3 linked regions of the Pelodiscus sinensis genome follow. The protein of the gene in region 2 interacts with the protein of the main gene of each other region in a biochemical or structural test. Links are inferred from orthologs where the notes say so. Each region holds a gene or a part of one and is shown on either strand. Other genes may lie near its edges.

The links.
Region 1: the proteins of RALA (region 2) and PLD1 form a complex in vitro, tested with the Homo sapiens proteins (2 studies listed by BioGRID). The link is inferred for Pelodiscus sinensis from reciprocal best matches to the Homo sapiens genes RALA and PLD1.
Region 3: the proteins of RALA (region 2) and EXOC2 are reported together in a solved structure, tested with the Homo sapiens proteins (2 studies listed by BioGRID, with this or other methods). The link is inferred for Pelodiscus sinensis from reciprocal best matches to the Homo sapiens genes RALA and EXOC2.

Annotation. Positions count from the first base shown.
Region 1 is NC_134720.1:39,813,284-39,821,296, forward strand, and holds the start of PLD1 (phospholipase D1), read right to left. Parts: upstream 3,036-8,013; 5' UTR 2,896-3,035; intron 1-2,895. UniProt on the Homo sapiens protein: Function as phospholipase selective for phosphatidylcholine. Implicated as a critical step in numerous cellular pathways, including signal transduction, membrane trafficking, and the regulation of mitosis.
Region 2 is NC_134712.1:166,935,256-166,943,049, reverse strand, and holds the start of RALA (ras-related protein Ral-A), read left to right. Parts: upstream 1-4,761; 5' UTR 4,762-4,990; intron 4,991-7,794. UniProt on the Homo sapiens protein: Multifunctional GTPase involved in a variety of cellular processes including gene expression, cell migration, cell proliferation, oncogenic transformation and membrane trafficking.
Region 3 is NC_134712.1:115,925,907-115,932,935, forward strand, and holds the start of EXOC2 (exocyst complex component 2), read right to left. Parts: upstream 3,036-7,029; 5' UTR 2,879-3,035; intron 1-2,878. UniProt on the Homo sapiens protein: Component of the exocyst complex involved in the docking of exocytic vesicles with fusion sites on the plasma membrane.

The DNA of each region.
Region 1 (8,013 bases), on a different chromosome or scaffold from region 2:
TTTCAACCCCCTTCTCACAACAAAAACTACTACACGACCCCATGTGTGGGGGACAAAAACCTGAGCCACCTGAGTCCTGATGCTCCAGATGGGGAAGCCCAAGCCAGAAATTCAAGGGCTTCAGCCCTTGGTATAAACTCAAATGTATTGGTATAAGCTCAAATGCTTAACTTGCCACCTGCAAGATTCTACTAAGCTCTCCTTATATAATATTAGCACTTTGAAAAGGAGCATTCCCCAGAAAGGGAAGCAGATTTTGTCCAAAGAGGGGGCATGGGATTCACTCTAGTTGTATGCTGCTGTACAAACTCCCATAAAGTCCAGTTCAGCTAGCATACATGCGTCTCAGACTGAAGCCCCTCTGCAAGCAAAACTCCCACTGAAAGTCAACAGGAACTTTACCTGCATTATGACTACAGAACTCCATGCCTGTAAGTGCAATTCCCACTGATGGGGCACACTTGCACTGCGGTAAGATTTAAATCTCTTAAGAACAAATCAAGGGGACATGAAAAAAAAATCTAAAATCACTGCATCCATACAGCCAAATAGCAAACTTCTTTGTTAGCTTCCGTAACGCTCAGTCGTTAGACCCCTGAAAATCCATGGCTATCTGCTTTATATCCACAGATGTCAATGCAGATATCCGCAGCTGATTTTTCTGAATACGGATACAAATTTTATATCTAGAACACTGCAAATTTGCAGATACCTGCACATCATTTTTACGGATGTGGATACCAAGTTTGTATCCATGTAGAGCTCTATCCATCATTCTATTATATGACAAGATTTTTTTTTAAAAGGTTTTCCCTGAAAGTGTATCACTCTTTACTGGTAAAGAGGAACTATATGGTGTGCATTTCAGGAAGTAGCTGACTCAAGATGTGTACAAATTAAGGCATACATGTAAACAGCTATACAATGAAATCAGATTCACAAGAATACTGTATCTACATGCGAGAACAATTTCTAATAAAGCAAAGTGTCCTGTTTCCTAAATTCCTTAAGTATTGTTGCAAAGCAACTTGTGTGTATTTTATTATTCGATCCATTAGTTGCAATTCCTTCTCATATTTAATAGATCACTTCTTTCTAACTGGAAACTCAAAACTGAAATGGCGAACCCAACAACACAACACACAAACAAACCGTAAAAATGAAAAGGCCCAAGAAGTTTCTTTATTTATAAAATATTAGTGTCAGAGAAGCATACAAAGGTATTTTGGATACAGAAGTCAAGTTGTAGTTACTCTCCTCCAGAGAGGACTGAATCGGATAAATCGTAACCTGTGTAAGGTACAATTCTACTCTTGGACAAAGATATGTGTATGCAAGACTCATGGAATTCACTTGATGAGGTTGCACAGGGGTAATTGAGAGCAACATTTGGCTCAGTGGGAGTAACAAGAGCATATCCAAGAGCAAAATATTGCATTTCAGTCTTAAAGGTCTTAATCCTGCAAGCTGTTGGACATGTTGCACCACCGTTGACAAAGAATTTAGGCGTAGTTGATGTTAGGTTCTTTCGTCCCCAAAGACTCTCTCTGTGCTTGAGAGTGGATTCCACCTCTCCTACTTACTGGTGGGATAATAAACCAGGTGGATCAGTAAACCAGCCAAACCTACTTGAAATTTTCACAGCAGAATCAGCACCTGCTAATAGGTAAGGTTATTTGAGGCAAAGTCTCCCTATACTCCCACCATGCCTGGCCAGCATGAACTACTTTTATTAGGATTAAAAGAAATTTAACTTCTCCTGACTTTGTAATTCCAGCTACTACTAACAAAATATTAAATAATCAAGAATGCGCTCACTACAACGTCTGCAGTGCTAACACTGTTTACTTGGATTATACAAGAAGGGAACCAGATCCTGGTCAAATTGCTCTGGTGGTTAGCAGAGGGGTTCAAAGGGCTATGAAGTCAAATACCCACTGAATGCGCTCTCTCTCTCTCTCTCTCTCTCAAGAAAAAAACAGTTTGTCATCTTTAGCAGAAAAAACAAACAGTTTGGACAAGATCTCCCAACACTCATCATCTTTGCAGATCACACCCAAGTAGTTCTGAACTAATGATAAGACCAAATTGCAAATGGTTGCAAGTACAACGTCCTGTTTAAAGATGAAGCCAGTAAACCATTGCCCCAATTGTGTACCAAACTGTTCAAAGGCATTACAGCACATACAACCACTTCATATTAATTTAAACATTGCAATAGTTGCAATCTATTTTGCATAATATTTTTCTACTTAACTTCCTTTTCTCTTACTGTTTAGTGCTGCAAGCCAAATATTTTTTCAATGTGGTTTTGGAGAAGGAAACATAGATGGCACATGGAAAGGGGAGCAGTGCCATAATGACTTGGTTTTTGATGTTTGGTGAAGAACAATTCAATTTGGCAGGGAGGGGGGCAGCCCTATACAGTTATATTATATATGCAAAGTTCCAACATTAGGACTGGTATTTCCTGGTTCTTTAAATTATGCTGATCAAATTAGATTTAGACGGTAACCAAACCACAGCCTCGTACAGCGTGGGAATAGCAGAAAAAGCATTATGAAAGTAGCAATGAAGCTACAATACGTTTTAAGTAAACGAGATTATTTCTTTTACAAATTACTTATCCACGAGCAATCTGCCATCACATAAAAGGATAGTCTGGAAGCTGCCTGGCTGATAAGTCAGGTTTAACTCCATGAGGCAGAAAGCAGCATTGGGAAGACACGTCAAAAGTTTGCAAAAAAAATCTAGCGAGGGCTCAAGAGAAGCTGAAATAAATTCCCAGGAGAGGCTGCAGAAGAAACTTGGTGCCAGACAGAATCCCAAGTAGTTTAGCTCAATTACTCAGGCGTACCGTGTGCCCTCGCCCCTAGCCAAAGAGTTGGGGGTTACCTGTGCCCAGGGTAGGTCTGCGTGTGTGAGCAGGTGTCTTGAGAGCTGTCGGTGCATTGGAGGGGGGTACCCAGCGCTGCCTGACTCCACACTCCAGGGAGGCTTGCCAGGCTGGGGCGGAGCCACACAGCTCCCACTGTGTCCTGGGGCAGAGCGGTGCGGGCGGGCCCTTGAAAGAAGAGTTGGAAACTTTTAAGAGCAGAGCGGCTTTTGGTTTCTCAAGGCGCGGTTGCACGAGAAGGGTGTAGGGAGCCGGGGATTTGTTTCGTGCCCTGCCGTCTCGCACGGCTCTGGGTGCGTGCGGAGAACTCGAGTCCACACGCCGTGTGTGTGTGTGAATAAAACGTGCACCTAGGTGTCTAGAGCTTACATACAAATTACAACTTTTGCATCTATACAACCCGTGTAAATTCCATATGGCAAATTCATGGCGAATATGCAGTATCCATAATGGCCCATAGGTATGTGGGAACTTTAGGCACTATGAAAAATAAAAGTGCACGAGAACTAAATAGATGTGGTGAGATTTTGCTGGACCCCTAACTCCCTTATGCACCTCTGAAAATATCCCCTGATGAATGATGCGCAGTGTCATATAGAACAGTGTTTTTCAACCAGTGGTACCAGTACCCTTAGCCATGGGCAGCGAGTTGCATGGGATCATGGTGACCATGCTCCACCAATATTTGGAGCTGGAGTTGACCCCGGCGCTCCCCCCTCCCCCCCCCCCCAGAGTGTCTCTCCCTTGTCCCTGGCCCCCTCCCGTCCCTGCCATACGCAACCTTCACTGAGCTCCCCCTTCCCGGCTACTGCTGCCATGCGCAGAGTGCTCAAACCAGTGAGCGGGGAGACGCCCGGGCGTGACGAGGGAGGGGGAGGGCTGGGAGAGGAAGGGGCTTGTGCGGAGGGGGAGGGGAGAGGGGGAAGAAAGGGGAAGGCACTAAAGGGACAGGGTAGAGGAAAGACAAAAGCCAGGGGGGCCAAGTGCAGACAATGAGGAAAAAGGCAGGAGGGGAGGTGTCAGTGGGAGGGGGGACAGGGTGATGCTGGGAGGGGAGAGGGTAAAGACATTGGGGGCTGGAGTGGGAGGTGCTGGGATAAGGCTTGAAAGAAGGGGTGGGCATGAGGAAGGCCGGGATGGAGCAAGTCATGTGTGAGGGCACAGGGGCATGAGGGGAACGGGGGGGGGGGGGAGAGGGTGGTGAGGGGAACGTGGGCATCAGGGGAAAAGAAGGCAAACGGGGCAGGGGCAGTGAGGGAAGGGGGAGGCACCAGGAGGGTACAGGAGTAAGGGAAGGTGCAGGTGCCAGGGGATTCTAGGGTGAAGCAGAAGGGCAGACACCTTCAGGGGAGGGACCAGCACCAGAGGAGAGAGGCAGAACAGGTTTGTAGAGTGAGGTGTTAGAAGAGGGGATGAGGAGGGGGAGCTCACAAGGTCAGAGTGGGGCTACTGGAGGAGTGGGCACAGGGAAGAGAGAAGGGCTGGTGGAGGGGGGCAGGTTGGAGGAGGGCTGAGGGCAGTGAGAACGGCAGGAGTCAGGACAGCAGAGGAGGGTGAGGAGCTGGGAGGGGGGGGGCAGCAGGCACCAGGGGAGCTGATGGAGCAAGGGGAGGAGACATGGCAGCAGAGTGGAAAGGTAGATATTTTATTAATAACTTGGGTGCCATAATGGCACAACCAAACACGCCACATGAACTCAGTACTGGTGCACAACACAAAATTCATTTTCCTCATGGGAAGAAACTCTTAGGCTATGTCTACACTGGCAGTTTCTTGCACAAGAACATCTTGAGCAAGAGTTCTTGTGCAAGAAGTCTTGCGCAAGAACACATCCACACTGCCATGTGCAAGCTGTGCTTTTGCACAAACATATCTATGGCAGTGTGGTCGCTCTCTTGCGCAAGAAAGCGCTGATGGCCATTTTAGCCATAGGGGTTTTTTGCACAAGAAATCCCTGCCGAGCATCCACACTGCCCTCTTGCGCAAGAGAGCTTACACCTGTTAGAAAAGAGCGTAGCTCTTGCGCAAGATGCCCTCTCTTACCACGCCGTACTGTAAATTTCCTTGCACAAGAGCAGGCGGGCAGTGTGAATGCTCTGTGGGTTCTTGCACAAGAATGGCTGTACTTGCACAAGAAGCTGCAAGTGTAGACATAGCCTCAGAGGGAACACTTCCCCCAGATCTCTGCCCCTGGGTTAATGTCACACACATTGGGTTAATGCAACTGCAGGATAGTTGCATGCGGTGGGTTTGGTGGGGGCCAACTAAGTTTTACAGTGCTTTATTAGTTTTGTACTTTTTACATCCAAAAATTTCATCGCCCGTCTGGCTACAAGTAAGTTGTTTAAACAAATGTGTTGCAATGGTAGAAAAAAAATGTGTGTATGAAAACTGTAGGTACTGGGGGTACTTATTTTTTTAAAAGGGGTACTTATAAAAAAAAGGTTGAAAAACACTGATATAGAAGAACTCTGGATTCAACAGCTGGCCTATAGAATAAAAATGGTGTTTTCAGCTTTGCTTACTGGCACTTGGCTAACAGACTGACCCTCTATCCCACCAGCCTCAAATAACCCACCACAGGGCTCTCCTCGCATAGGACTCCTGGCACACTTAGGCTACGTCCACACTGTAGCCTTCTTGCAGAAAAGCTTATGCAAATGAAGCTCTGCATGGAATCTCACTGTGCTTCATTTGCATAATTAATGAGCAGCCATTTTTGCACAAGAGGCTTTTGCGCAAAAAAGAGCAGTGTAGACAGTCCTTTTTGTGCAAAACCCTCCTCTTGCTCAGGAGCCATTCTTCCTCAAAAAATGAGCAATACAAAATGAAAATAATCTAGTTATTCCTCCCGGTAATTTATATTTGTGTTTCTGTTCCTGTTAGAGGCAAGGAGGTATCATAGGTAGAGGAGTGAGGCCGAGGTCTTTTACAACTTTGCTCTAGATCAGTAGTTCTCAAACTTTTTGGCCTGAGGCCCACCCTCCTCAATGCATACCTTTCTGCCAACCACCAGCCAACCACCCATGATGACAAAATGGGTGCAGGAGTAGGCTGGAGGGGGTCTCAATAGGAAGGGAGTATGTTAGGGGGATGTGGGGACAGGTAGCTGGCTCTGCTCCTCCTGCCACTCCCAGGCCCCGACCTACTCTATTCCCATTGACCAGGATTCTGGCCAATGGAAGCTGTGGGGAAAGCCTCCAGGTGAGTGGTTTCCTGCACTGCCATTCCCCCAGCTAGGGGGAGGGGGAGTAGCAGTGCACAGAGTCACTTCCTGCCCCCATAAGCTGGATCCAGCCTGAGGTGATCCGGGCTTCCCCTCAGCAGGAAGCCAGTGCTGGTGTTTCACCATGCAGGGCGGGGCTAGAGCATCAGCACAGGTTCTCTGCTGCAGGGGTGGAGAAAGGGAGAGGGGGACGTGAGCTCCAGGCCCACCTGCAAGACAGTCAAGGACCATTAGTGGTCCAGAGACTATACTTTGAAAACCACTGTTCTAACTGGTGCCAAGTAGATTTAACAAATTTCTACAAGCTCTGAGTTTGTAGAATTTTACTGAGAGTTTTTCTTATCTTCGCTGCTAAGTAATTCTTTTTTTTCCATATTCAAACTCCGCTCAATGTCATATGCATGTCAACTTTCGCTGGGGTGGCTCATCCATCTAGCTGCTTCTTGACCATGCTTCTCCTGTAGCATTGGCACTGCTGTGTCCTATGGCTGTTCCATTTAAATAGTAAGCAGTTGAGATTTGTCTTCACTAGCAAGAGGCTTGTGAAAAAATAAAAGAACAAGGGAAGTTGTCATTTAATTGTTTAAGCTAATATTTATTTCAATAAACTAGATAAATGTGGATGACTTATTCCACTCATCTGACTTTCAGAGGGCTTCTTCTGATTTCAGCAGGAGTTCTTGAGTGCTCAGCCAGTCTGAAAATCAGGTCTAAGATGTCTCAGACTGGCCACCCAACAACTAAGATAGCCAAAATGAGTGACTACTTGTGAATATTTTGTCAATGGTAAAAATGTGTTTTCTCATAGTGAAGCTGAAGTCCTGATGATGGATGGCAGCATCCTCAGCAAAGGATTACTTTTGATAAGAATTTTTCATATTAACCAAGGAGGATATTTAAGCCACACAACATTACACATGCAGACAGAACTTGGACAAGGTTTTTAATTTCCTTTAATTTCCCTTATTTTCTGAGATGTTTCAGTTTGTAGGAATACAGTGGTCAATAGTAAAACCTCAGCAACTGGATACAATTCTTTCCAGTTAAACAGGTTTAGCAGGTCTACTTCTGATGATGATGTAAAAAATCAAGACTTCCTGAAAATATAATTGTTTATATTTTCATGATTAAAGAAACATGCAGCTGCTAAAATATACAGTTCAATTAACTTTGAAGGCTGTACTCTTTATCTTTATTCTTACTGTCTCCAAACAGTAACCTGGATCTAAGGAAATCTTTTTCAGTTTGCCTTTGTATGAGGCTCTGAATGCAATAAGGCTGACAATCTCTTCTGTGCTAGTCACGCCCTCAGAAAGCCTGCTCTTTTTCCTGCATAGCCATTAATACGGGAAATAAATAAATCAGTCTAATCATATGCTGCAGTACTCTAACTGACAGACTAGATCATTTCCCCCAGTATTACTGTTGTAACAGAGTGTGCTGACCCTTTAAAGAGAGCTCCAAGAGCAGCTGTGTTCTGTTTTTTGTTCCAGCCCGGAAGACAGGCATTCTGGGAGATGTAGTTCTCAGAATGGGCATTGTAGGCTTCATGGTATGCTAGGAAAGGAGGTTGTACACAACCATCTCTCTTTTCCTTAGTGTAGATGTAGAGGAGACTGGGTTGGAGCTCAAGTTTCTAGGGGAGTCTCTCCTTTAAGCATAAGACCTGGAAGGAGGTGTAGATAGGTATCTCTGCTAAGAAAGGAACAGGTTGTGGTAGAAGGACTAGAAGAAGCCAGGGAAGAAAGGATACCTATAGGTCTCTCTACTGAAAACAGTAAGAAGGGAGATCTGGGTCTTTCCCGTCATAGGGAAAGAACTTTGGGGAGGGGTGTCTGTGAAATAAACCAATTAGTAAAGTACAGTACTATAGAAAGGGGGAGTGTTTTTT
Region 2 (7,794 bases):
ATACACTGTAGTTGCTTTTTTTAGATGTGATCCAATTCCCACTAACATCAATTAAAAGGCTTCCACCGACTTCAATGGGATTTCCATTAACTTCAGTAGGAGAGTTCCCTTCTTTCTGTGCAGCAGAAAGTGAAGGCGGATGATTACCAGTCAAGAAGGGTAAGGGATAACAAAAGGAGAATAGGCACAGCATATTATGCTGACTCTCAGCTCTGCTTTACTGGTAGTAGCCCTCTCACTGCAACAGTGCAAATGTGGGGCTTCATGGGATTTCAGGGTGACTGATTGGAAGGAGATAATAAAGTTGGGGAGCAGTCACTCTCAGAAGGATTAACACCTGATTTACAACTTCTCCCAGTTTCATACCAGGAGGTAGTGTGTAGCTGCAGACCAGAGAACCAAGAATAGCACAGTGCAGAATCAGCCACAGTTCCAGGTGAGAAGATCTTGGATTTAGTGATAGAGACACAGTGCCAAATGAGGACAAACACAGTGGTGCATTGCATTTCATTAAACTTAGCACAGAGGAAGGGTGGTACCCATCCTGACCCCATATCGTTACCTCCCAGACATTTTAAGTGGTTCTAGTTCAGGGGTTCCAGGATTCCTACCATCTAACTTGGGGTAGTTCTATTCAGCCTACCACTAAACTCACTATTCTGAGTCCTATTCCCCCCCCCCCCCCACCACCACCACCACACACACTACTCCAGGGGGATAGAGTGTACTAAAAAGAGGGACCTCTGTTGGTAAAGACCACAATATCTTCCTCTGTCTCCTGAGGCCATTAGTGAAATCCCAGGACTTTTACTTCATTTCAGCCACACTAGAAACCAGCCACAAGCCACAATGAACTAACATCCTAACCAAATACTATCATTAATGATTAAATCCTATTTCTATTAAACTGCACCTAGAGGATTTGGCAAGGAAAATTAAAGCTTCTTAGGCCTTTGCCAATTTGACCCCATTGGGGAAAAAATTCTCTGTCCCCAAAATAGGTGATTGGTAACCCACAGCATCTGTAAAACAGGTCCGAGTTCTATCAGTCCAGGTCAAGGAGGGTAGAGCTGCAGATCCAGAGCCAGAAGAGGATTTAGATGGCCTTGGCTTTGTTTTAAATTAATGAAAAAGGAGGGCAAGAGATCAAACAGTTCCCTTCCTCCCCAAGCTAGTGAGTGAGTGGCTAGAGTCTTTGACTGGGCAGGATGCCCTGCATCCCCTCATCTTGTAGTCTTCTCTCTTGTTCAACAGGGATTGTCCCAAATGAAGCCAGTGGTCCAAAATCAGTAGGCCTGCTGCCTGGAACAGGATCTCTGCTGATCCTTAGGTTCTGTACCTGTACAAGATTATACACCTAATCCTTCCATGCTAAACTAACATCCTTACCGAGTACTATCATTATGATTAAATCCTAAGAAGCAGCTAATGTATTAATTTCTCCCCCGAGTGAAACATGTAGAATGTTTTGCATCTGTTTTTCTCTTCCACCAGAGATTTGGTGATATCAAATTTCTCTGACTTAGTTTTGCTGGGTCAAAGAGAGGTCAGTTTGTGTGGATGAACGTGCTCATAGGATTGAGCATTTTATTGAAATGATTTAATTGGAACATTCTCATATTGTGATATTGTGCTATGAATTTTCTAAAGGTCTGTGTGAGATGCAAAAATTAGCTCATCATAAACAGAGAAGCCAAAGAAGCAAAATCCCAAGGAGAAATTGACCAAACACTGGCTAAATGCCTAGGACTTGACATTTTTGAGAAAAGTGAGCACAGAGAGCAGCATTAAATCACTATACAATTTTCAACAACACTACAGCTGGTCAAAATACTTTTATTTGTTGTTGTTGAAAATCTCCCTTCATTATTTTTTCAGAAATCACCATCCTCTGCATCCTTTGTTAAGGCAATATTGAAATTATTTTAACCAGCTCTAATTACCAGCAATATCCTGTGACTAGACTACTGAAGTGTTACAGTTTGATAAGCCAAACACATAGACCAGGTACTCATTTTTAATAATATAACAGTGTTTATGTAATGGGACTAAATTGTGCTGTACTTCATTTTGAAGCGTATTTCTGAACATGATATGGTTATTAAGGCATTAACAAGGAGCTCTCCTCAGATACTGCTTAACATTGAAATGGGGTCTCCTATTATCTCTGTATTTCACTTGGCCACTTTGAGTACGTCTAGACTACAAGCCTCTTTCAAAGAGAGCATCTAGACTACAAGCAGATTTTTTGAAAAAGCGAGCCACCTTTTCAAAAGAGTCTAGATGCTCTCTTTCAAAAAAGCACAGTTTGCAGTCCATAGTGCCTTTTTTCGAAAGGGTACTTTCGAAAAAAGGCATTATTCCTCATAAAATGAGGTTTACCGTGATTGAAAAAACTGCCGTGTTCTTTCGATTTACTTTCGAAAGAACGTGGCTACAGTCTAGACACAGGTGAAGTTTTTTCGAAAAAAGGCTACTTTTTTTTTGAAAAAACCCTGTAGTCTAGACACACTCTTTAAATCATTCTGCTCTGGTTGGACACTAACCACAAAACATAGAATCATCTCAACTTCTGACTAACTCTTTCCTTCTTACCTTGTCACTGCTCTTAAATTCATTCTTTTTAATACCTTTCCCCTGATCTGCCTTCCCCGTGAGGAAAGCTCTGGTTATTCTTGCCCTCAGTGAAAATAGTATTTTATTTTTAAATTAGTCACGTGTTTCAACCTATTCCTCCCAGTTGCTAATCTCACCCCCACTCCAGGCCTCAAAATGAGCTCCACACACACTTACGTTCTCAAACTCTAATGGCAATTTAATGAAAGATGTCACAGGTTTTGGTTTTTAAAATGGTGGCCTTCTTAGATATGATCCTTCTTTTCTAAACAGAAGTGTCTAGACAGATCATGGTAGTCTCGATTAACTCTCTGGACTGACAAGTCTGTTCTGATCATAGTAGGATTTCTGGCTGACCATTGGAGTCAGGCAGGTTCCTTTAAAAAAAACAAACACCCGCATCAGTACTCACGCTAATAGAAATTGAATTTAACTTTGAATATGAAAAATACAAAGAAATCAAGAGAGTTACTAATATTCACTGTGACTGCCAGCATCTTAGACATGTACACAGTTAAGAAAGTAATCCAGGAATGGAAACAGAAGATTGCTGACACTATGAATCCTACTGATCAAATTGGTTGATGTCTCTCACTATCTACGATATATTTGAGAGAGTTTATGTGTTGTCTGTCTGTTCAAGAACTACTCCTAAACAGTAAGAATAGTTCCACTAAATTTGATACACACCATCCTTTTAACATAATGTAAAGCAAGGAAAGGATTTGGTTGGGCCAGGAAAATGGGATGTGCCTGAATGGGATTGCTTCTCATGAAATCATACAGAAAAGAGACAGAATCACCAAGCAGGTGAAGGGAGTTGGCTGGGTCCCCCCCTCTCCCCCACACACATTCATGATTTCCCCTACCCTGAACCTCCTACTGCCCAGGTGCCCTTTAAGAAGATGGGGCGGGGGCTGAAACTTCCTCCCACCTCCCCTGCTAATGTACAGAGACATTCCTGGCTGTTCCCCATTATCAGGAAGTGATGGGAAAGTGCAGTTTGCTGCATTCTTCACTCTGGTTAGGGGACAGAGGAACCCAGACCTGGCCTAGCCAGGAGACATGCACCCCTCCCCCAGCTGTGCCTGTTGGTGTTACAGTAGAAGAGGCATTTCTCATCTGGTCCCAAGCTGCTGTGAGAGAGCGCTAGGGTAGTCCTCTTTTGCAAGGTGCAGCCTGAATATTGAACTACTCATCCCCAGCCCTCCCCAGTCCACAAATTGCAGAGAGCAAGTTTGACAGTCCATTTGCAGAGTTAGGAAGGCAGTATGAAGGCTGTCCCTACCAATATGTAAAATACGCAGCCACGTAGGGCACCACAAAATTTGGGGCACCCAAATTCTGTGGTGCCTTAGGTAGCTGGGTGCTGTATATGGGGCAGTACTGAAGTCCGGCAGTCAGCCCCATTCTTTGGCTAGTCCCCGCTGAGGGCTGGACCCTAGGGGTTATGGGGACTGGGACACTCCTCTCCGTTTCACCCCCATCCTGCTCACACTTCACCCCTTCCCATAAATCCCCACCCCTACACCACTCCCCTCTCTGTCTCTTCATGAGTGCTGTGACTGGGAGCCAGGGGAGCAGAATGGGCTGGAGAAGGGCTGCTCCCCTTCTCTCTACTCCAGTGAGTGTGGGGGGCAAATCCAATCCCTGCTCCCGCCTTGCCCTGCCTCTTGAAGCTCTGGGCCTCCCCCCCACAGTTCCTGCCCCCACGCCAGTGAACACAGTACCCCCCTCAGAGGGGCCAACCGCTTTGCATAGTGACCCCCCCTATGGGGGAGGGGTGCACTGAGCACCAAAATTTGCAGGGAGGGGCCTGACTGGCGCATCTTTGCAAGAATGTATTAAAAGACTGGAAGAGTTGGGTGAAAAAGGAGAGAAAGGGAACGTGCTTCCCTCCACCCCACAGTGCAGCTAAATGGGGGGGGGGGGAATGCGAACACAAGCCACGCCCCCATTTAACGGCCACGCCCCCTTCCCCGCCCACACCAGACCCGCTCTCTTCTTCACAGCAGCTCCCAACCTCCACGCACAATTAGCCCCTCCCCTTTCGTTTCGAGCCCGGCACCTCCCATAGCCCCGCCCCCCTCCCCCGTTCCACCCTATTAGAGAGGCCGCGGGCCCCCCGCCTTCCATCAGAGCGCCGCAGCCCCTCCTTTCCCGGAAGCTGCTGTCCGGCTGGCCCCGCCCTTCCCCGGAAGCAGGTTCCGCCCGGGCCCGGCCCCCGGAAGCAGCCCTGTGTGGCGGCTGCTGCTGGCCTCGGCCCCTGCGCGGAGCCAGAGTCTCTCGGGAGCTGGGCGGACGCTTCCCCCGCCCGCTTGAGCCCAGCGCGGAGCCGCCTCGGAGCGCGGCGGCGGGAGGCGGATTCGGGCAGGTGAGTCCGGGCGGCGCTTTGCTGGGCGGTGTTGACCCCGCCCGGGTGCTGGGGGGGCCACGGGCTGCCCCCCCCCCCCTGGTTCTACCCCGCTCTGTGCTGCCCCCGGCTCCCCACACGCGCCAGAGCGCAGGTCCCGGGTGACTTCTCCGCGCTCCGCCCGGCTCGCCGCGGCGGCTCGTCCCGGTCCCAGCCCGCCTGTGGCCGCGGCCGGGGCTCGACGCCTCCCGCAAGGCGGGACCTGGGATCTTCGTTCCCTGAAGGTTAACAGCCTCTCCCCGCCGGCGCCCTGCCCGGGTGACTTCCCGACCGGTGCCGCTGCCCGGCGCTGGGGCTGCCTGTCGGGAAGGCTCATTCATTCCCTTCAGGGGGCCGCTCCCTCCTGCTTCTCCTTTGCCGTCCGGAGCTGGGCGCTTCCTTGCCGGCCTGGGCGTGAATGTGCTGCTGGGCCGCCCGCTGCGGGAGTGGGTGAGACCTCGTCCCTGAAACTCTGATCGTGTTAATTTGGGGGGCCCCAGTGAGCTCGGATGAGGTTGGAAACGAGGCGCCTGAAATCGTGGCTGTTGGCTGTAACGCTAGTCTAGATTTATTAACTCGTCTTTAAAATGGCTTTCGGCCAAGCTTGTCTTTGTACATCAGCCACCTAGGTTACTCAAGTTTTATTGTTCTAGTGTTTAAACAGCGGGCCACACCTCGATTCTAACAGTGGAGAGTACCTATCTTATCCATGGCAGGAATTGTTTTGTTCCAAGTGTACTTCAGATATGCTGTTAATTTGTCTGATCTCTTGTCTTAGTCAGTGACTGAGATCTCTGACATGGAATTCTAGTGTCAAGATCACCAATTTAAACTGCATTCAAGAGCTATATACTGTAAACTTCATTTCCAGTGATACTTTTGTGTGGTGGTGCATGTTATGTTTGCAGTTTTCATTTTGTTTATGTTCTGCATTACTAAAACTACAGGAAGGAATAATGTGCATTAATGAGGCTTTTAAATTCATAAAACTTTACATTTCTTTTTGCTTGATTAGGCTGTTAATCACTTGTATCTATATAATATGTATTTAAGAACCAACTTGCATAACTTCACCCAACATTCTGAATTTTTGTCTATTTGTTTATCCAGAAATGTATCCTATTTACTGGCACATGTTTAGTGATCATATGTGCACAATGTTGAGGGTTCTGTACATTAACACTGAGCACTGACTCTCTTACTGTAATCTGATTTGAATACTGTGATCACCAACGTATGCATTTCTTTTACAAGAGATGTGTGTGTGTAGTATCACTGAAATATAGTGGTGGAAATTCATGGCTTCTGAGTTTAAAAACTACCTCAGAATTCCTCTTTAACTTCAGGAAAATGATCACAGCTGGAGATGCCCTCACTAGAGAATTGGAGAGGCTGTGTCTTACTCAGCAGTCCTTTATAGTGCTCGACATCAGTTGAAATGCTCACATCTGGCTCTGTAAGAACATCTCAATCTAACAGCCAAACATTCTGTTAATATTTCTAGCTCTGTTTCCACAGCAACACTACATCTAAGATGTTAAATTAGGCTGTGTGGGGTTAATCTGGATGGACCTCTTCCCATTTCAACCTTGAGCAGTGAGTTGCTTAACTTAGGAGGAAGAGGGTAGCTGAACAAATGCAGATGCTAGTTTGTTTAGCAATGGCTATGATTAGACTAGTAGCTATAAAAAAAGGTAGATTTCTCCCCCCTTCATCTCATTCTCTTAAGAGGTACTGCAACAAGTTACATGGCTTCTGCAAAAAGTCTTAGTTACAATAGCATGAGGAAATAAAGTGACTCCTAAAATTCCAGAAGGAAGTGCCTAAGTGTAGATTTACTTCCATATTTCATTCTGGTGACCTTGCCTTTTTAAAGGTATCAATTTCCACTATTCAGAATACTTCAGAATTGTGCATTAGTGTTGGCCTGTTATACCCCATTTTTATAGGAATAAATTACTCCCTACTGCTCCTTCTCCCCAAAATACCTTGCAAACAAAGCCAATGGTAGAGTGAAATAACTGGATCATCTGAGCTTGCATTCATAGCTTGTTTTGCTTAATGGAGGAGGATAGATGCTGTTTCAGGGTGCACCAATGCATATCTGAAGAACTGGATGTTTTAACAAGCATGATAATACCCTAGTTAACCTGTCTCTCTAATGAGAGAATCAAAGCTGTTGCTTTGCTTTTTCTTTCTCAAGTGATAACAAATTACTTAGTTGATGAAACTGCTAGAAACTTGACCTCTACAATCAACTGGCAATCTCATGGTATCACTATTCATAAACTCTGCTGGAACAAGGGAAGGAACTCTTCATGGGAACATAAGTACGAGCAGACCCTTCACAACATGGGGGGGGGGAGGAGGGAAAGAAGCAAATTAGTGGAAAGGCAAAATTGGAGCAACTGTTAGACTGAGATGGGTACAGTCCAAATTTCACTTTTGTGTTCATGTTCACTATCATGAAAACTGGTTCTTAACTTAAGTGTTCTGCTTAATGTACTGCACTATAGTATTCATGAGTTTATTCTTAAAACTATGAAAATGTGCCCTCTTACCAAAATAACTGAAATGGAATGTTCCCCTTGTCTTAAATACTTAAATACGTAAAATCATTGGTGCAAATAGCTGTTAAACTGAGGCACAGAAAACTAAAACTGAGGATTAGCATGTTATGCTGTTCTACATGCTAAAAATCACTTAAGGACCTCTTGGGAACTGGAAACTTTATTTCTCATCAGCCTCAGAATTCTAACTGGACTAAAGCCTATGGCTTTTTTGGG
Region 3 (7,029 bases), about 51 Mb from region 2:
GTCTGTTTGTTTTAAGCATATAACTAATATGCATGCAGTCTAGGATGTGGTTAAGATTCTAAAGGTAAACTGAGCCTTTTCATTATAAACCTCTAATTTCAGGAATTTGTAATCTAGGATTAAAAAATGTGCCCAAGACTGAATTTTGGCAAGAGAACCCAAAAGACAGGTGGGTTTTCCTCCATCAAATTAGGGTGGGGGGACTTGCCGCTGGTTTTGAGATATAGGAATGTAAACAACCAGATTAATTTTCAGTTTGCTTTTATACTTTAATTTGAAATCTGTTTTATTTTTGCAACTGATACTTTGTACACGTAAACACAGACTAGTGCCTTTGGCTACACTGATGTTAGGAGGATGGAATGTGAAAAGTTACCACTATGCACATGCACTATTATCCATGAGGATTTGTTTGTTTGGTTGGTTTTTTTTCTTTTAATCACACTTACTTCATATGATATTAAAATCTCTGGCCTAGACCATCTCCCACATGTACAGGGAACCCTCACGAGACATTTCTTCTCCCCCATTTTGTTTACACTATGGAAGGCTATCCATAAACCACAGGTGCACTGTATGTGATGAGTAAGTAAGTAGGTCAGAATGAAGAGGAAGCGTGTGGATGGATCAGAGGCCAGACTAGTGGTGGATGAACATGATTTCTTTCCATATCCACTAGTATATTTAGAGGTGGGTCAGCTAAGGCCTGAAGCTCTGGACCACCAAACAGATATAGCTAGGGATCCACTAACTACATCGAAGGTGGGCACTATAGCCTTTTCTATAGGAAGAAAAAACTCACCTTTCCCTAAGAGCAGAGGGATTCTCAAGAAAAAGTCTTCCTAACCTCCTCATCTATAAACCAGTTCATTGGATCAAACCAACATTTTAGTGCAAGCACCTGGATAAAGGCTGGTACAATAATAACTAGCTTTTACCCAGAACTTTTTATCAACAGATCTCAACGTGCTTTTCAAGGCAGTCATTATCATTATTATATAACAGCCAGGGAAGCAGCAGCACAGAAGTTAAGTCACTCATTCTGTGACAAGATACATTTAAAGAAAACTGCCAAAATACTTATACATGCTAGCCTTTCAGAGACTGTAGCTCTGAGCAGTAGCAATCTTTTTGCATTACATGCCTGTTTTTGCCAGAAACAGAGATTCAGGATAAATTATTATCCAGGTTGTTTTACATAAATTGACACCACATTATAAGCTTCACAGGATTTTAATAAAGATTAGTAATGAAGAAAGAAAAAACTACAAGTAGTCTAGTAGCACTTAAAGACTAACAAAACATGTACTGTAGATGGTTTCATGAGTTTTCGTGGGCACAACCGTCTAAAGAAAGAAAAAGTACATTCCTGCTTAACTAGTAGAATATAAGCTCACCAAATCACTATTTAATTTCTCTATACCCTAATCTAATTAACACACTTGTTCAATATATAGGGCTACCACTATTTTTATCTATTACACATTGTTTCTCACCACTGCTGTTCAATGGTGGGCACAGCAATGAAACTGACACGAATTGCATCAGGAGCTGCTGGAGGTCCTGGCCTGGATGCAGCCTGCTCCAGGGGCCTCAAGGCTTCCAAACTCTTGGACCAGCTGAGCTGCCCAGCTCCCCCAGCATAAGTCGTCAGATGGCCAGGCATCCAGCTAGCCAGGGAGCCTAACTCATGCAAGATCTACAATTTATTAGTGCATCCAAGCTCCCTGATGCAGACTCAAAGCTAGGGCCCTCAAAGTTTTCAGGCTCCCATGCCACTGCATGAAGTCTGGAAGTAGTATGTTACTTTTCTACTGTACCTTATAATGAAGAGCAACTGCCACCACTACTGGCCCATTTACTATATTTATGGTGCCTTTAAATTGTAAAGTCTTTGTATTATCAGTGATTTTATCCCTCATTGAGGAATATAACTGCAGTGCCACAGACATAATTTAAATAAGAGCTTCCATTCAAATGAAAAACACATGTTTTTATATGGGTCTTCCAGATTTGATAACAAGCAGATGAACAGGATCCTGTTTAAAGCACCCCAAAACGACAGCATGGTTGAAGCCTCAGCTGCAGGTACTTTCTACATGACTAAGTGACCAAGTCCATAAAATATCGGTGATTATGTGACCAACTATATGGGTATGTGTACAGTGCTTTATGAATTCAGATCTGAGAGACCTGGGGCTTGTGGACTTAGTGGGTATGTCTACACTGCAATTAGACTTCTGTGGTGGCCCCTGCCAGCTGACTGAGGCTCCTGGAGCTCAGGCCAAGGAGCTGTTCTATTGCAGCACGGACATTTGGTCCACTCTAGAGGACTTTAGCGTGACAGCTTGGGCTGTAAGGCCTGGCAAGCTGGGAGGGTCTCAGACTTCAGCCCAAGCAACTACAACACTGAGCGCCTCGTCCAGAGCCAGCCTAGCACAGTTCAGCTCGCACGGGCCAGCCACAGCAGCAGAGACACGCGCAGTGTTTCCAAGCCAGGGCTCAAGCATCCACCGCCCCTCCGCACCGGCCCCACGGGCAGTGCTGGCGCCGAGCCGCTGCCACCGGCGCTGCCCCGCGGCACGGAAGTGGCTGGCGGCAGCTCGGCGGGGCCCAGCGCGGAGACAAGCGGGGCCTCCGCAGTGTGCGGCTGGGGGGCGGGGGCAGCGCTTGGCCTCTGCCGCGCACATCCAGCGCCCGGCGGGGGCAGCGTACCGGGCGGATCCCAACGGCCCGATCCGGATCGTTATTAGCAACGGCGGCAGCGAGACCCCGGGGCAGGAGGCGCGCGGCGGGGGTGCGGCCCGAGGCCAGTGACTAGGAGCCGGCTCGCGCTAACGTGCGTGTGTCCGGGATGGGAGGGGGGGGGAGCACTCACCGGCCGCTGCGCTGTTTGAAACCGGCACTGGGCAGCGTCGCTCCAGGTAGCGCCTCCGCCTCCCGCACAGCCAGGCCGCCGCAATGGAGTCCGGACGCATCGATCGCCCGGGAGGCGGAACCGGAGCAATCGAGCGGCAGCCCCGCCCCTCCCGCTTGGGCCGCGCCTTCCTTCTCCCGGCCCCGCCCCTGAGCTCCTTCCTCGCTGCCTCCAGCCCGGGCCGCCCAGTGCCTGCGCGTTCGGTCCCTTCGCCCTCAGCCGCAGCGCGAGGCCACGGCGGGCTGCTGGGTTTGGCGCCGCGCACGGGGCAGGGAGCCGGTTGAGCTCGTAAAGAAAGGAAAGCACCGAGGAGGTGCGGAGGAAGCCCGCCCGGGGACAGACTTGCCGCTCCTGCCAAGCGCTCCCAGGGCCTGCAACCTGCAAACGAGTCGTTTTCTGCTTCCAGTCGGGCTTCTGCCCTGAGCGAGCCAGGAGGGTGGTTTTTGCTGGTGGTTGGACTTTGTAAACATCTTAGTCCCGTTCTTCAGCCCGTAGGGTGCGGGGCTAATGGAAAGTGTTGTAGAAAGACTTTGGGTAGGTCTAGACTACAGGCTTTTGTCAACAGAGGTTTTTGTGGACAGAGAGGATAGGTCTACACTACAGCTGTCTACACATTGGGGTGATCTAGCGCCAAAGTGGCTGTTTTTGCGCAAAAACTTGCTGCCTGTCTACACTGGCCAGGAGTTCTTGCGCAAGAACACTGACGTTCTAATGTGTGAAATCAGAGCTTCTTGTGCAAGAACTATGATGCTCCCGCTCAGGAATAAGCCCTCTTGCGCAACTGTTCTTGCACAAGAGGCTAGTGTAGACAGGCAGCATGAATTTCTTACGCAAGAAAGCCCGATAGCTAAAATGGCCATCGGAGCTTTCTTGCGCAAGAGAGCGTCTACACTGGCATGGATGCTCTTGCGCAAAAGCCATCTCTCGCACAAAGGCACATGCCAATGTAGACGCTCTCTTGCGCAAATACTTTAATGCAAGAACTCTTGCGTTAAAGAGTATTTGCACAAGATCATGCCAATGTGGATGTAGCCATGTAGATTACCTTTCTAGACATAGGAAAATGAAGTGGCGATTTAAATAATGCCTGGCGGGATGAGGTTTACCGGGGAGGTCGACAAATGCTTTTGATGTCGACCGTGGAGTGTCCAGACTACAGAGCTGTGCCGACAAACAGCTGATTGGCACAGTGCGGCAGCAATTTTAATTTAAATGAAGCGATGATTATTTAAATTGCCGCTTCATTTTCCTATGTCTACATAGGTAATCTACATGGCTCTGTTGACGGAGCCATGTAATGTAGACATACCCATACTGTTGACAAAGCTTCTGTCGACAAAGAGTGTCTTGACTACATCCAGTTCTGTCAACAAAGCAAGCTGCTTTGTCGACATGACGGTGTAGATGCAATAATACCTTCTGTCAACAGAACTCTGTTGACAAAAGACGTTATTCCTCGTAGAACGAGGTTTACAGCCGTTGACAAAACTGCAGAGTTCTGTCGACGTTATGTCGACAGAACTCAGCAGCAGTGGAGACGCAGGTATAGTTTCGTCGACAAAAGTCCACTTTTGTCAACAAAACTCTGTAGTCTAGACACACCCTTTGAGGCCATGGCTACCCTGGCAGATGGAAAATGCTGGCAACTGCAGCGCTGCTTGCAAAGTGCAGCAATGAAACCACAGTTGGGTGGCCACAGTGTTAGCTGCCAGTTCATTAGCCTGGCAACACTCATGGCACTTGCAGCACACTGCATTCTGGGCAGCTATCTCCCAGAGCACCTCTTCCCCTTCAGAGGTGTTGGGAGGCACAGGACACCCTGAGCCCTGTCCCAGCTACGGATGTTAGATATTATTTAATTTAATGATCACATAACCACATCAGTTGCAGGATTATGCAATGGCTCCTGAGGATGGAGGCAGCAGCCAAGTGCGCTCCCAGACCCAGGGAGCCCCTACCACACTGCACTGCTGCCTCTGATACAGCTCCCCTGCCTGCTCTTCATTTACAACTCAGACTGATAGGCTGATTGAGCCAGCCTGCCAGTCCAAGTTTTAAATGCAGAGCATGAGGGGGGGGGGTGTTATTGTGGTTAACTGGGACTGTTAACCAATAAGCAATAGCTTATCGGTTAAACAATTAACCACTAACATCCCTAATCCCAGTGGCCCCTAGTGCAGATGTTCTCAAACTTTGTGATACCGTGACCCCTCTCTAAGTTGCTCACGACCCCCCCCCCAGGGAGGTCAGGACGCACAGTTTGAGAAACACGGCCTTAGTGCATCACTTCACATCTCAACAACCCTGGCACTTCCGTCCGCATTTGGTACCATGTTTCAACAATTTGCTGCATGCTCTGCCTCCTGGGTGTGTGGGAATGTTGATGAAAATGCTGACAGGTCATGCCGATGAACTATTGCTGATGGGCTATTGCAAGCCTCCGTAGGGAAGTGCGATGTCAACATGGGAAAGTTACAATAACTTAATTTAAATCAGTTTTTATACCACTGTCATTAAACTGGTATAAACTTTGCTGTGGACACTCTTAGTTTGGTTTAAGAGTGGCATCATGTGGTTTAGTTTAAACTTTTAATTAATTTTTATCTAAACAAAATATAAGTATCTGTAATCATTTAATTAAATTGGTTTAAAAAAATCACACCAATAGTTAAACCACTGCAACTCTCTCATGTAGACAAGCCCTTAAATTGATTTTAAAACCTGGTTTATATAGTAAATCTGACTGTATAAGTTAAATTAATATGAACCAGATTAAAATGAATTTAAGTGTCCACACAGAGATTTGTACCAGTTTAAGTAAGTAGATTTATGATGTATCTTTAATCAAACCAGTATGTGCAGGCAAGACCTCATAAGAGTCAATGCTGGGCTTCTACTGGGAGCGGTCTCTAGTGAATGAATATTTTCACATCTTAAAAGAAGGACCAAGGTTACTGAATATTTAACAAAACCTTCCTTTTAGCCCAACTGTAACCCACTTAAATTATATAGCTGTTAAAAGAGGAAAAGAACAGCTTTAAACAATCTGGCTAAAAATCCTTCCCCTTTTTAATACTTCAGCTTTCTGTCTCTTAGCTTTTATGAGGTCAACGTTGAATTAGTTGTCCACTCACATTTAGACAGGATCTGAATTTTTACCGTTAAAAGTACAAAGAAAAAAATCTTCAGGCATTTTCCATATATCCTAAAGAAGTGAAAAAGTGCATAGGTTCAGGAGTTTTGTATGGTATAGTGTAGGGGAGCCTAAACAGCCCTGTCTTGACCAAGACAGCGTCTGCTTTACTCAAAGTAAAGATCTCTAACAAAGCAAAACCCAAGCCTGTCTCAAGTCTGGTGCACGTAGCATGCAGGTAAGGCTGGGGCTTTGAAGCAGGAATGTTTTTGCACAATCATGCATTTCCAGCATAGTTCAGTGTGATAATGCCAAGAGAACTGGATTAATCTAGTACTGATACATTTTATTCCTAATAAGAAAAAGCAGATACAGTCATAGAACTGTTAACCAAGCACATACTTTTTGCAACATCTTGAGTAGTAGGATGTACCCCTAATAAAGGCACAATAGGTATCTTACACAATATGTAATCAATTAGTAGATATTATTAGAATGACCAAGTCTTGCTTTGCTATAAAATGGGCTTAGCAAGAAGAATTGATGGGAGGTAGTAAGCAGGATTGACCCACAAGTCCTTCTTATTGTAACTAAAAGTAAAAGACCATTCACACTAGCTGTGGCAGTGCACAGCGTCCCTAAGTGTGGCAGTAAAAGGGACAATGAACCTCCTGCAGGTGGCATGTGAATGAAGTGTAAGTGAACAAGGCTTAATTATTGCATTATAATAAATCTCCTATTAATTGCTTTTGTATTGTTTTGTATTGTATTAATTGCTTTACAAATTTGTAGTATTTAAGGCTTAAATTGTATAGTAATTGTTTTTTGAGGCTTGTAAAACAAAGGACTATATTAACAGCTTGAAGACTTGCAATAAATGAGGAAGTGGTTAAGTCTCTTTGGAGTGTCCTAGTTTCCCTTGAATCTAAAATAAATCAAACCACACGAAATATATATTCTCCTTTGCAGGTCATTTTTA